Linked DNA regions of Oryzias latipes. The protein of the gene in region 2 interacts with the protein of the main gene of each other region in a pairwise test. Links are inferred from orthologs where the notes say so. Each region holds a gene or a part of one and is shown on either strand. Other genes may lie near its edges.

What was found.
Region 1: the proteins of nup58 (region 2) and mis18a interact in binary tests that used the Homo sapiens proteins (3 or more experiments, as listed by UniProt). The link is inferred for Oryzias latipes from reciprocal best matches to the Homo sapiens genes NUP58 and MIS18A.
Region 3: the proteins of nup58 (region 2) and pknox1 interact in binary tests that used the Homo sapiens proteins (3 or more experiments, as listed by UniProt). The link is inferred for Oryzias latipes from reciprocal best matches to the Homo sapiens genes NUP58 and PKNOX1.

What each region holds. Positions count from the first base shown.
Region 1 is NC_019872.2:10,921,813-10,925,763, reverse strand, and holds the end of mis18a (protein Mis18-alpha), read right to left. Parts: intron 3,394-3,951; coding exon 3,291-3,393; intron 2,069-3,290; coding exon of another isoform or gene 2,003-2,068; exon of another isoform or gene 1,999-2,002; intron 1,315-1,998; coding exon 1,234-1,314; 3' UTR 651-1,233; downstream 1-650. UniProt on the Homo sapiens protein: Required for recruitment of CENPA to centromeres and normal chromosome segregation during mitosis.
Region 2 is NC_019878.2:13,563,884-13,567,535, reverse strand, and holds part of nup58 (nucleoporin p58/p45), read left to right. Parts: intron 1-1,769; coding exon 1,770-1,853; intron 1,854-2,468; coding exon 2,469-2,567; intron 2,568-3,359; coding exon 3,360-3,529; 3' UTR 3,530-3,652. UniProt on the Homo sapiens protein: Component of the nuclear pore complex, a complex required for the trafficking across the nuclear membrane.
Region 3 is NC_019879.2:31,118,777-31,122,218, reverse strand, and holds part of pknox1 (homeobox protein PKNOX1), read right to left. Parts: intron 3,353-3,442; coding exon 3,181-3,352; intron 2,960-3,180; coding exon 2,759-2,959; intron 2,686-2,758; coding exon 2,568-2,685; intron 2,495-2,567; coding exon 2,397-2,494; intron 1,387-2,396; coding exon 1,258-1,386; intron 1,182-1,257; coding exon 1,105-1,181; intron 1-1,104. UniProt on the Homo sapiens protein: Activates transcription in the presence of PBX1A and HOXA1.

The DNA.
Region 1 (3,951 bases), on a different chromosome or scaffold from region 2:
CAACAGCAGAGGGTGGGGAGAGAAGGCGGGAAAGGGGAGGAGGATGAGACAAAGGGTGGAGTTAGAGCTGGAGAAAAACATCCTGCGGAGATTAGGGGTTTTGGGGAGGGGGTGTTCATTCAGAACTCCTCCTCTGCGTGGGGGATAACTTCAACTGACAGGCGTTTTGGCCAGTGAGCGGGCCGACTGCTCCTCCAGCGCTCAAAGCGATGACGAGATGGCAACAGGCACTCTCGGCGTAGCACATGCTCTCAGTTGCCATCGCAACCTGCCCTTGGATACAGCGTGCTGGTTGGCCATCCTCGACTGTTGTTGTTCTGTGAGGCTGATGAAACCTCGTGGGTGAGGGCGGGCGAGCGGTACAGCACTGAGCTGCTTCGGCGTTTATGGTAGAAAAGTGTTGCTAGGCACATTAGAGGTCATTTAGTAAACAAACATTGAGGTATTAATATTTAATCATCCCTGCCACCCCTGGAGTTAACCTTTTAACTCTAGAATCCAAGAGGAAGTTTTACTTGGAAAGCATAGCAGGATGAGATGATCCCTAAAAATCTCTGCAAAAAAGAACACTTTAAAAAGATTATGTTGATAGCTCGGATTGTTTTTTTGTATAAATACAAAGACGATACTTTGTCGATGGTTTGAAAAAATTTTTTATTATGGAACAGGTGACACTTTATTACGTAAAAATACATGAAATCACACAAAAAAGAAATGATACAATTGCCTTTTTTTTTTTAAACAGAAAATAATATTTCAGCCACCCCAAAATAACATGTTCTTTGGGATTTCAGCAAATTTGAATTTGCTTTAATGGGAAAATTCCACACTATCCGTTGAAAAGACATAAGAGAAGAAGAAGTGTGTGTGGCCGCGAAGTGAAAGATCAATACTGCACTGTGCTGAGTGTGCAGCCTGCATGATGAAATCCTGCACAAATAAACATTCTTCCCGTGGCACACATACAAAGACCCACAGAGACGGCGGTGCCACGAGAGGCGAGCTGGCAAGATGATTGATTACGAGTGCCGGCAGTCTTTGTTTCAGCAGTTGTACTTGGGACGAGAGCAAGGTGAGGCTGTGGAACAAAATGTACCCATGAAGGAATGAGGTGGAATTTCAGGTGGGAAGGAATAATGTAAACCATACAGGACAAAGAGCTCAAACACAGGAACTGTGCGTTAACACGTGGACAAACACGGTCTCTGATAAGCGGGCGGGCATCCATCAGTGTCAGGCCTCATCACATCCATCCTGAAGGCCACCTTCGATCTCCTCCAGCCTCTGCGCCATAGACACCACCAGCATTTTCATCTGAAAGGAACGTGGGGGTCAGGCGGGAGAGTTTGCGAGTGGGGGAAAAAAAAAAGTAGAAGAGAAATGAGTAGAAAGTGAGGATGAAGGAGTCACAGTGGGAAAGAGATGAAGGGAGGCGTGGACAGGTGGGAGCAGCAGGAAGCTGTTAGAAAAGGGAGAAGGAGTAATTAGAGAAGGGAGTTAGTGAGAGGGAACGGTAAAACTAAGAGAGGAGATGGTCAAAGATGGGTGGATTTTCTATTGGGTGGGGCTCTGGACTGGGGGGGTGCAGATCATAGCAAGTATCCACAGTTTAGATCGACAGAATCCATTAACTACAGCAGCAGAGGAGATTAAAAAACAACAATAAATTACAGCTAAAGAGAAAAAGAAAACAGTTAAAGGCGAGAACAACATCACACTATTTAAAGAATAAGCTCTAGATGATGAATGGGAAAAACTGTAAAGGTTAACATGTGCAAGAAAGATTTGACATGTAATGGATCTAATGTGTTTTAATGTTTAAACCCAAGTTCCACAGTGATGGTTTTCCCTTAATAAAACATTGCTGACTCTAAAGCTAACACTTATCCATCTTAATTAGTAAAATATGACTCATATGTATGTTTATAGACCTAAAAAGATTGTTTTTAATTCAGTAAATTAAATGGGTGTGAAACTACCGGTTTTTGAATTCCTGACCTGGTCAAACATTAACATAATCCTGTTGCAGTGCACCGATGGTCGACAGTGAATTATGGTGATAAATCTCCTAAAATGACATTTAGTGGGCAATCATCAGATAAATTGCCAGCCTATCCAGACAGACAGTAAACACAATCAATAGTAAACTGGGTACAGGGTTAATCTAGTTTCAGAGCAGCACAGATTACACTGTGAAGACCTAAAGTGGTTTGTTTTTTATGTATTTGTTTAGGTCAACACACATTTTTTTAATGATTCAATTAGTCATGTCACTACTTTAGGCCTTTAAATTCATCATAAACACAACTCTGTTCTGCTGCTTGGATGAATGTTATATTTATCTGTGAATGCCTCAACAGCAGAACAGGTTTTTTTTTTTGCTTTCTAGATCAAACTTTGTGATAAGAAAGTTTGATATACTTGAGCTGTCATATTAATCAATTAGGTTTGATTCATTAAAGCAGCTGTGTTTAACCACAAGGACACCTGATGATACAAAAACATGTTTTCCCACCAACAGAGATGCCTCAACATGAACCCTTTCGCATCTATTGTCCCTGGTGCAAGAGTGTGGGTGAGGTGTTCCTGCCCTTTATCGCCACCTACTGGCCAAATGCCGCCTCGAAATGTTTTCTAAACAAAGGGTGATTAAGATGAACAGTTCATTTCATCTATGCAGCCGAAAATACAGCATAGTGACAAAGAAAATAGAATCTAAACAAATATATGAGTATATTATTCAAACGATAAAGTATTTCAATATTATTATACAATCAGTTATAGGGAGAAAAAAATGTGGTAATAAAAAATAGCTAGTTTCTCAGGAGTTCAGTTTATAAATATTGAATTAAAAAAATCTGTTTGCAGGAAATGACATGGAGACATGAGGTAATGTCTCGCATAGGGGTCTGCTCGCATCACCAGTGAGAGTTTTCTGGAACTAAGCTGATGTCATTCCTGCTGTAGTACAACCTGTACATGTCTAACACACAACAGAGACAACCTAAAGCAACCAAATCTCTGTCAGTACATCACACTGGTTCCTGATGCTACCAACACCTACAAGCACCCCTAATAAGTTACATTTATTCTGGGGATCTTTTTCCTACTTAATTTGACGACAACTATAAAATAAATTAAATCAGTTACGAAACGGTGACAAATACTTTGTTGAAAACATAAAGATAGTCATGCTTTAAAACTAAATATTTTGAAAAAAATTCAGACAAAACACACTACCTAAGAAAAACAGAGGAGCCAGACAAAGAAAAGCTGCAGCACTTATTTACCTCTGATAGCTGTTGTTCAACAAAGCCCCTGTATTCCAGCGTAACTGGTTTCTCATCTGAGCCCTCTGCTGCCATCATCTGGTTTGCAGAGCCGAGCACATAGCTGAAAAATGGATCATAATATAATGTAGCAAACTATGCATTCTAGACTCTTCTTGAGCAAAGAAATTCCTACAACAGCTTGTTGATGGCATTTATTTTAGTTTTAAAATATGTTTTTGTAAAAGTTTTTTTTAAGTTATTAAAAAAGGTTCTATACAACCCTATATTCAATCATTTTGCTTATTCTGTTTGAACAAAAATGTTTTTTTTACAAATAATTTATATTATTTGTAAATTCTTTGTAGAAAGTGAGGAGAGATTGTAAGTTCTGCTATAATTTCTATTATTTACACAATAGTCACACTATACAATATTACTATACTAGTTTTGAAATTATGTACATCTAAAAAAGGTCATACTGAAAAGAAAGATTTTCTTAGTAGATGCATATCATTTAAAAGTTCCACTTAAGTCATCTTTTGATCTATTTAAAAATAAAAAAACTGATCATAATGCCATTTTTAGCCATAATCCAAAAACTTGTGTTGTTTTCTAAGATGTAGTTTCTGCAGAGCAGCAGGAGTCATCAGAAATTCACCTATGAGTTGAGGGCGGGACT
Region 2 (3,652 bases):
GTTAATACATTGTCAGTGCGTACAGGGATCATTGGCAAACCTAATTTAATTGTTTATTGGTGGAGTTTATTTATTTAAAAAAGGAAAAACCTTTCTGGCTTTTTCCATAAAAACACTAATATTTTTGTAATATAGAGATGGAATTCCAATCAACTTCTTGAGGAATTTAAATTATTTGTGTGGTTTCTTAACATTGTCTTCCATGATTCTACATTTGTAGTATACTGGCAGTATAAAAAGTGAATTGCTGTATTTAAGGTTTTTGGAGTTTGAAGTGATCTTATTACCCAGATTAGATATTTTTTTCTGAATTAAATTACACCAAAATGTGAATCCAGCTTTTACATTTTTTTTTTAGGAATGTTACTTTCCAGGCAAATTGCTTGAAGTCCTCAACTAGAAACATGTATGTAGTAAAAGCTGTTTTTCCTTTAGTTAACCCTCAGTTCAACATCACACCAAAATGCTCATTTGAGAACTCTTGTAGTATTTGAGTGGTCAGCTGTTGAAGACTTTATTGAATGTTTCTGTCTCTCATGACACAATTCCTTGAAATATTTCTAATATTTAGCTATTTTTCAGTAGTGTGTGTGTGTGTGTTTGTGTGTTTGGCTCTGACGATGGTTTCAGGGTGTGTAGGAACTGAGTGAATAACCAATTACCTCAGTGAAGTTAGTCTTGTACAACGAAGATTGCATCTTGGGTAGATTTAGTCTTGTAATGCTCTTCAACCAAAACCACACCCACCTTCATGAGTCATTCTCACATCAACCACATGGTTTGGAACTTGAAAACTCCACTTTTTGACATCAGCTTACACTGAAACGATACTATAAACTCTTAACTCTTGAGTGCTTTAATTTAAATGCCTGTTGATCCAATATATTTAATACAAAATGTTGTGCCTTTTATATAACTATATAGCGTAATTGTGCTAATTGTGTGTGTGTTTTTTTGGGGATGTATGCTAGTTCATTCACTCTCAGAAATCTTGAAAATTTATTGATTGCGGTAGCAGATAGCAATTAACCGATTCTGTTCCTGTTTGTTTGTGTTTTATGTAAGTGGAATTGCATATAAATTGACAATAAATCAGTTTTTAACAAAGAAACATTTGTCCTTGTTTTGTTTTGACTGGAGTATTTATTATTATTATTTATTTTTTGGTAGTGCAGACTAATTGGACATTTTTCTATTTTTTTTTTTTTAAATTAAAGTCATCAAAGAAATGCAAAAAGACAAGATTCTGAGTGAAAGAACTAGCAGCCTTTTTTCCAAGTTCTTAAAAACCTCTAAGCATCCCTGTTATTGCCTGAAATGGTTTCTTTTTAAAACAATTTCCTAAACTTTTTACTGCATTGTTCATAACACGTGGAGTACAAAGCATTGTGCACGGCCACATTTATTTACAATTTTCAGGGACATTTACATAAAATCATGAATAATAGTTGTTTGCTATTACGCTAGCATTTAACCCTTGTGCTATCCTAGGCACTTTACCATTGGGAGTTGGGTCATCTAGACCCACTAGACAGTGCTCTGAACCTTTTTTCTTCAATGATTTGTGATCTTCACTGGTGTCCATGGATTACATGAAATCTTTCCACCTTTGTCATAGTAGGAAGAACACATCAATGTAAGGGTGGGGTCATCTAAGATAGCACAAGACAAACATATAGATTTATTTATACATGGCATTATTATGTCCAAAAAAAAACAAAGATGTTCCCAGAACAGTAAAGCAAGTGCTTTTTCCCTCTGTGCCATAGGGACACAGGCACCCTTGGGGGCAGGATTTGGAAATCCTTTTGCCTCAGCAGTGGGCACTAGCCTGGGCTCCTCTACCCTTGGAGGTACTACCTCTGAATTTTGGAAAATGTTGCTCGCTTTGTGCTATTTTATTTTATTCTTTCTCCTAGCGTTTCACTTTTCTCCTTAATGACAACAAACCCTTTAAGCAGGAGATTGTGGAGATCTTCTTGTTTCAAAGGAACAGGTTGCTAGTGTGTGTTTGTGGGTACAGTCACTGTATAACACCCCCCCCCCCCTCTTCCTTCATTCGTAGTTTAAAGTACATTCAAGAAAAGTGACTCCTATCTTTATTTTGACATTGAAATCACTAGAAATGTGACTTCCGGTCCTTGAAAGAAAAAAATTGGCAAAAGTTACCTGGTTCTAATATTAATAGTTATTTTTCTCCAGAAAACGTTTGCACTTCTAATTAAAACATCCACAATTACAGGAATAGGTAGTCTGAGCAACTTACACTGATGGTTTTGTTCTTTTACCTTCCACAATCTTGGGTTTGTGGTTGTGTGTAGCTTTGAAACTGTATTGCATCAGCCTGTTTTTCAGATCTTTTGCCTAAGTTTCCCTCCCCTCACTGCCAAACTCTCTTCTTCTTTTTGTGTGCCGACGCCCTCGTTTTCGGTTTTCCGTCTGACTCCCATGTCCCTCTTGTCCCCCAGGATTTGCTGGTGGACCAGGATTCGGCGGCGTGGGCTGTGCGGGGTCGTCTTTTGGCTTCTCCACCGCTGCCAAGCCCGCAGGGGGCAGTCTGAGTGCAGGTATGTTCAGTCTGCGTAAATACTGTCCTCCGACTCGCCTTCAACAGTAGCAGAACACAGAAAACACTTTTTGATGATTCTTCTAGATGCCTTCATCTGATGGTGAGGAAGGTAACTTGCATACGTTTATAAGTTTTGTAGGAATTTTTGTTACTACGCTCCATCCAAGAGCATCGCTCATGATATGCCCCAATACTCCATAAATACTCCATAAATGTGAGTTTTTTTTTTTTTCTAAATTGTTGTTTCCATTAGGTGAAATTGTCGCGAATCCATTTGTTCATTGAAGTGAAAACGCAGCTAACATGTCCGTATCATACGTGATCTGTGTCCGTTTTGTCACTATACCGCCAGTCTGTTTTGTTGGTCAAACATTTGGAGCTTCACATCCATCAGAACAGGCGGATCCTACTTATTAAAAAAAAAACTGCAGCTGTAACTCATTTTCTGCATCAAAATAAACCGCTCTAAATTTAAAAATGTCCCCCATCGTTTTGCTCTGTAATGTTTGTGGATAAAGTAGGAAGAAGAAGAAAACAGACCGGTGATATCAAGACGAGCACATAAAAAAAATGGAGCACAGTAGTTGTAGTTTTTTACTTTTGTAGTTCCTAAAAAAACATTCAAATGAAAAACACCCATTTATGTATTTATTTCTTTTTATTTAATACAATACCTTTCTATTCTACAACGAACAAACTGTTGTTTTCATAGCAGCAAATGCTAACATGGTCTTCTCCTTGATCCTGCAGCATCTCCCCATGACCTGGATGTCTTTTCTATGTCCACTAGGTTTTGGCAGCACCAGCAGCTCGGGCTTCAACTTCAGCAACCCGGGCATAAACCCGTCGGCTGGCCTGACCTTTGGCGTGTCTAACCAGCCTGCTGTGGGTTTCGGAGCAGGAGGGCCACTTCTCCAGCTAAAAAAGCCTCCCGCCGGTAACAAAAGGGGCAAGAGATAGGCATAGCAGAAAGACTGAACTTTGGGACAAAAAAAAAAAAAAAGAAGGCTCCAGTGCTTGAAGTAAGTAAGGCCTGGATTTTAAAAGCGCAAGTAAGGGGGAAATAGAAAAAAAAAGACAAAA
Region 3 (3,442 bases), on a different chromosome or scaffold from region 2:
CTGAGGATCCTGCAGCAGCAGCAGAGGTTCCTGCAGCAGCAGCAGCAGCAGAGGTTGCTGCTGCAGCAGCAGCAGCAGAGGTTCCTGCTGCAGCAGCAGCAGAGGTTCCTGCTGCAGCAGCAGCTGAGGTTCCTGCTGCAGCAGCAGCTGAGGTTCCTGCAGCAGCAGCAGCTGAGGTTCCTGCAGCAGCAGCAGCTGAGGTTCCTGCAGCAGCAGCAGCTGAGGTTCCTGCTGCAGCAGCAGCAGAGGTTCCTGCTGCAGCAGCAGCTGAGGTTCCTGCTGCAGCAGCAGCTGAGGTTCCTGCTGCAGCAGCAGCAGAGGTTCCTGCTGCAGCAGCAGCAGAGGTTCTTGCAGCAGCAGAGGTTCCTGCTGCAGCAGCAGCTGAGGTTCCTGCTGCAGCAGCAGCTGAGGTTCCTGCTGCAGCAGCAGCTGAGGTTCCTGCTGCAGCAGCAGCTGAGGTTCCTGCAGCAGCAGCAGCATAGGTTCCTGCAGCAGCAGCAGCAGAGGTTCCTGCAGCAGCAGCTGAGGTTCCTGCAGCAGCAGCTGAGGTTCCTGCAGCAGCAGCAGAGGTTCCTGCAGCAGCAGCAGCAGAGGTTGCTGCTGCAGCAGCAGCAGCTGAGGTTCCTGCTGCAGCAGCAGCTGAGGTTCCTGCTGCAGCAGCAGCAGAGGTTCCTGCTGCAGCAGCAGCTGAGGTTCCTGCTGCAGCAGCAGCTGAGGTTCCTGCTGCAGCAGCAGCAGAGGTTCCTGCTGCAGCAGCAGCAGAGGTTCTTGCAGCAGCAGAGGTTCCTGCTGCAGCAGCAGCTGAGGTTCCTGCTGCAGCAGCAGCAGAGGTTCCTGCTGCAGCAGCAGCTGAGGTTCTTGCAGCAGCAGCAGCATAGGTTCCTGCAGCAGCAGCAGCAGAGGTTCTTGCAGCAGCAGAGGTTCCTGCTGCAGCAGCAGCTGAGGTTCCTGCTGCAGCAGCAGCTGAGGTTCCTGCTGCAGCAGCAGCTGAGGTTCCTGCAGCAGCAGCAGCATAGGTTCCTGCAGCAGCAGCAGCAGAGGTTCCTGCAGCAGCAGCAGCAGAGGTTCCTGCAGCAGCAGCAGCAGCAGAGGCTCCTCACTCACCAGTTGTTGACTTGCAGGAGTGTCAGGTTGGTCTGCGTGGCGATCTGCTTCTTCTCGTCCTCTGTTGGATATGGGTGCTGCAGAGCCAGAAGAAACGGCGTGAAGCTACGATGGCAGACGTTCTGCATCGACCACACCTGCAGACGCACTCACCCCGATGTGCTGGAAGAGCCAGGAGCGCATGACGTTGGTGGCGTGTTTGGGAAGGACGCCGCGTTTATTCTTGGTGGAGTTGTCGTCGTGATTGAACAGGTTCACATCCTGGTGGAACTGCAGCTGAAACTGAGCACAGACGTCCCGTCAAAGGTGAGCTGCAAGAGTCCAGACACACCGGACCCCCTACCTGAAGAACTCCCCGATTCTGAACCGACAGTACCGAGGAGGAGGAGCGACAGGCACGATTACTGGACTTGACCCCGCCCATCTCAACGCAGAGAGGTATAGGGCGGGAACAGGTTTTAGTTCTTTTGGGCCCTCCCAATTCAGAAAAGCCGACCCCTAATGACCCGGAACCACTGATGTCCCCCAGGTATAAAACAGAAATGAAGCAGCAGTCTTTGAAAAACTCTTTAAAACCAAACTGGTTTATTTCTGGATTCAATCAGATTTAGCGCTGTGACGGGTTGGCATAGCGTCCACAGTAAACCCCGCCTTCCCCAAGAACCGATAGGATAGACCCCAGCAACCCCATAAAGTGGGCCTGAAAAATGGAATCTGACAACCTGCCTCCAGTGGTCATTCAAGGAACTGCACTGTTTGGTACTTCCTGTCTTGCGTGGATGTCGTACAGACTGTGGGGGCTTTCTGTTCACCGATACGTTTTCTTGAAATGTTTGATCATAGAAAATCTTTGGAAATAAATCATTGTTGTTCATTAGGTATATAATAAAACACGGGACAGTTAAGCATGTTTATTAACTAATTACAACCTGAACTGAAGCTGCTTCAAATATAGAACATGTATGTTAGTGATGGCATAACACAGGGAGGGGTAGGTGTGTGGGGGGGGTGCTGTTTACACCCACAGATTGGGGAGTTTACCGCTCAAATCGGCGGCTTTTGCTCCGTTTTAATGTAGCAACACTGCAGGCGGACAGACGCCGCGCTGGCATGAGCTCTTTACTGGACGCATTTTTACAAAACTGCGACCAAAGTATCTAAAGTATCGATCTCATCACGCTAGTATCAATACTTTGATGCAGATACTATGGACACTCCGATTGATCGGCCACCTCTACTCATGAGCGCGCTCGCGGACAATGGCCCCTCCTACTGGCACCACACGGACGTACCTGATTGTTCTGGACGCGGATGGTTCCCGGTGAGAGAGTCTGGGTCACCACCTGACCCTGGGGGGTAACCACGGTGACGGGCTGGTACACGGCCCCTCCTGAAACACACACAGGTATGCTCAGCTTCCAGCTGCTGCCTGACGGTTCGGGGGGGGGCGCTCGCGGACCCACCTGCCACCATCTGGTTGGGGTTGACGGCGGTCACGGTGACATTGCCCTGCTGCAGGGTGGAGGCCGGGACCACGATCTGACCCTGGGGACTGATGGCCCCGGACATGGAGCTGGGGGTCTGCACACAGACCGGAACACATGACCTCGGGGTCGCACACGTCTACCTGCAGGAGGAGGGGGCCAGAGCTCACCTGAGTCTTGGTGGGGGAGAAGGCCTGCGCCTGACCCTGCACGGGCGAGTAGGGGCTGCCGGGCTCGCCGCTCAGCAGCGTCTCGCTGTTCATCTTGGTCTTGAGGCAGGCGATGTAGCGGCTGCAGAAGTCCTTGCACAGGTCGCTCACCTTCTCCAGCTCCAGCAGGTGGATCCGGAGCACCTGGATGGCTTTCACCATCTCCACAGAGCAGAAAGAGAGCGGCGTGTCATCAGCATGGATCCGCTGATCATATGGTTAGACCTGAACACGCCGTTCATGCAGGAATGACCACATCCATGTTTGTGTCTGACTTCCTGCCAAGCACCAAACTTCTGATTGGACGCTGAGAAAGCTCCTGAAAAGGATCAGCTGGCTGGTTTTTTTTGTATTGGGGGGGCAGCATTACCAAGGCGACTCACCAAGTTGTCGAGTTCAGGGTCCTCGCTGAAAAAGGGCCGGCCCTCCTTCTCCTGACTGCGGACGAAGTTCTCGATGTCCACGTCGAAGCTGGCGGAGGTGATGCAGTCGGCGCTCAGCGTGGACTGCTCACACTTCTCGAACAGCAGCGCCAGCAGAGGGAACAGAGGATGCCTGGGGAGAGAAGCCCCCCCAAAACCCGCCGCTTCATTCCACGTTCAAACATCCAGAACAGCACAGACACCGATGTTCTTCACTGGATCC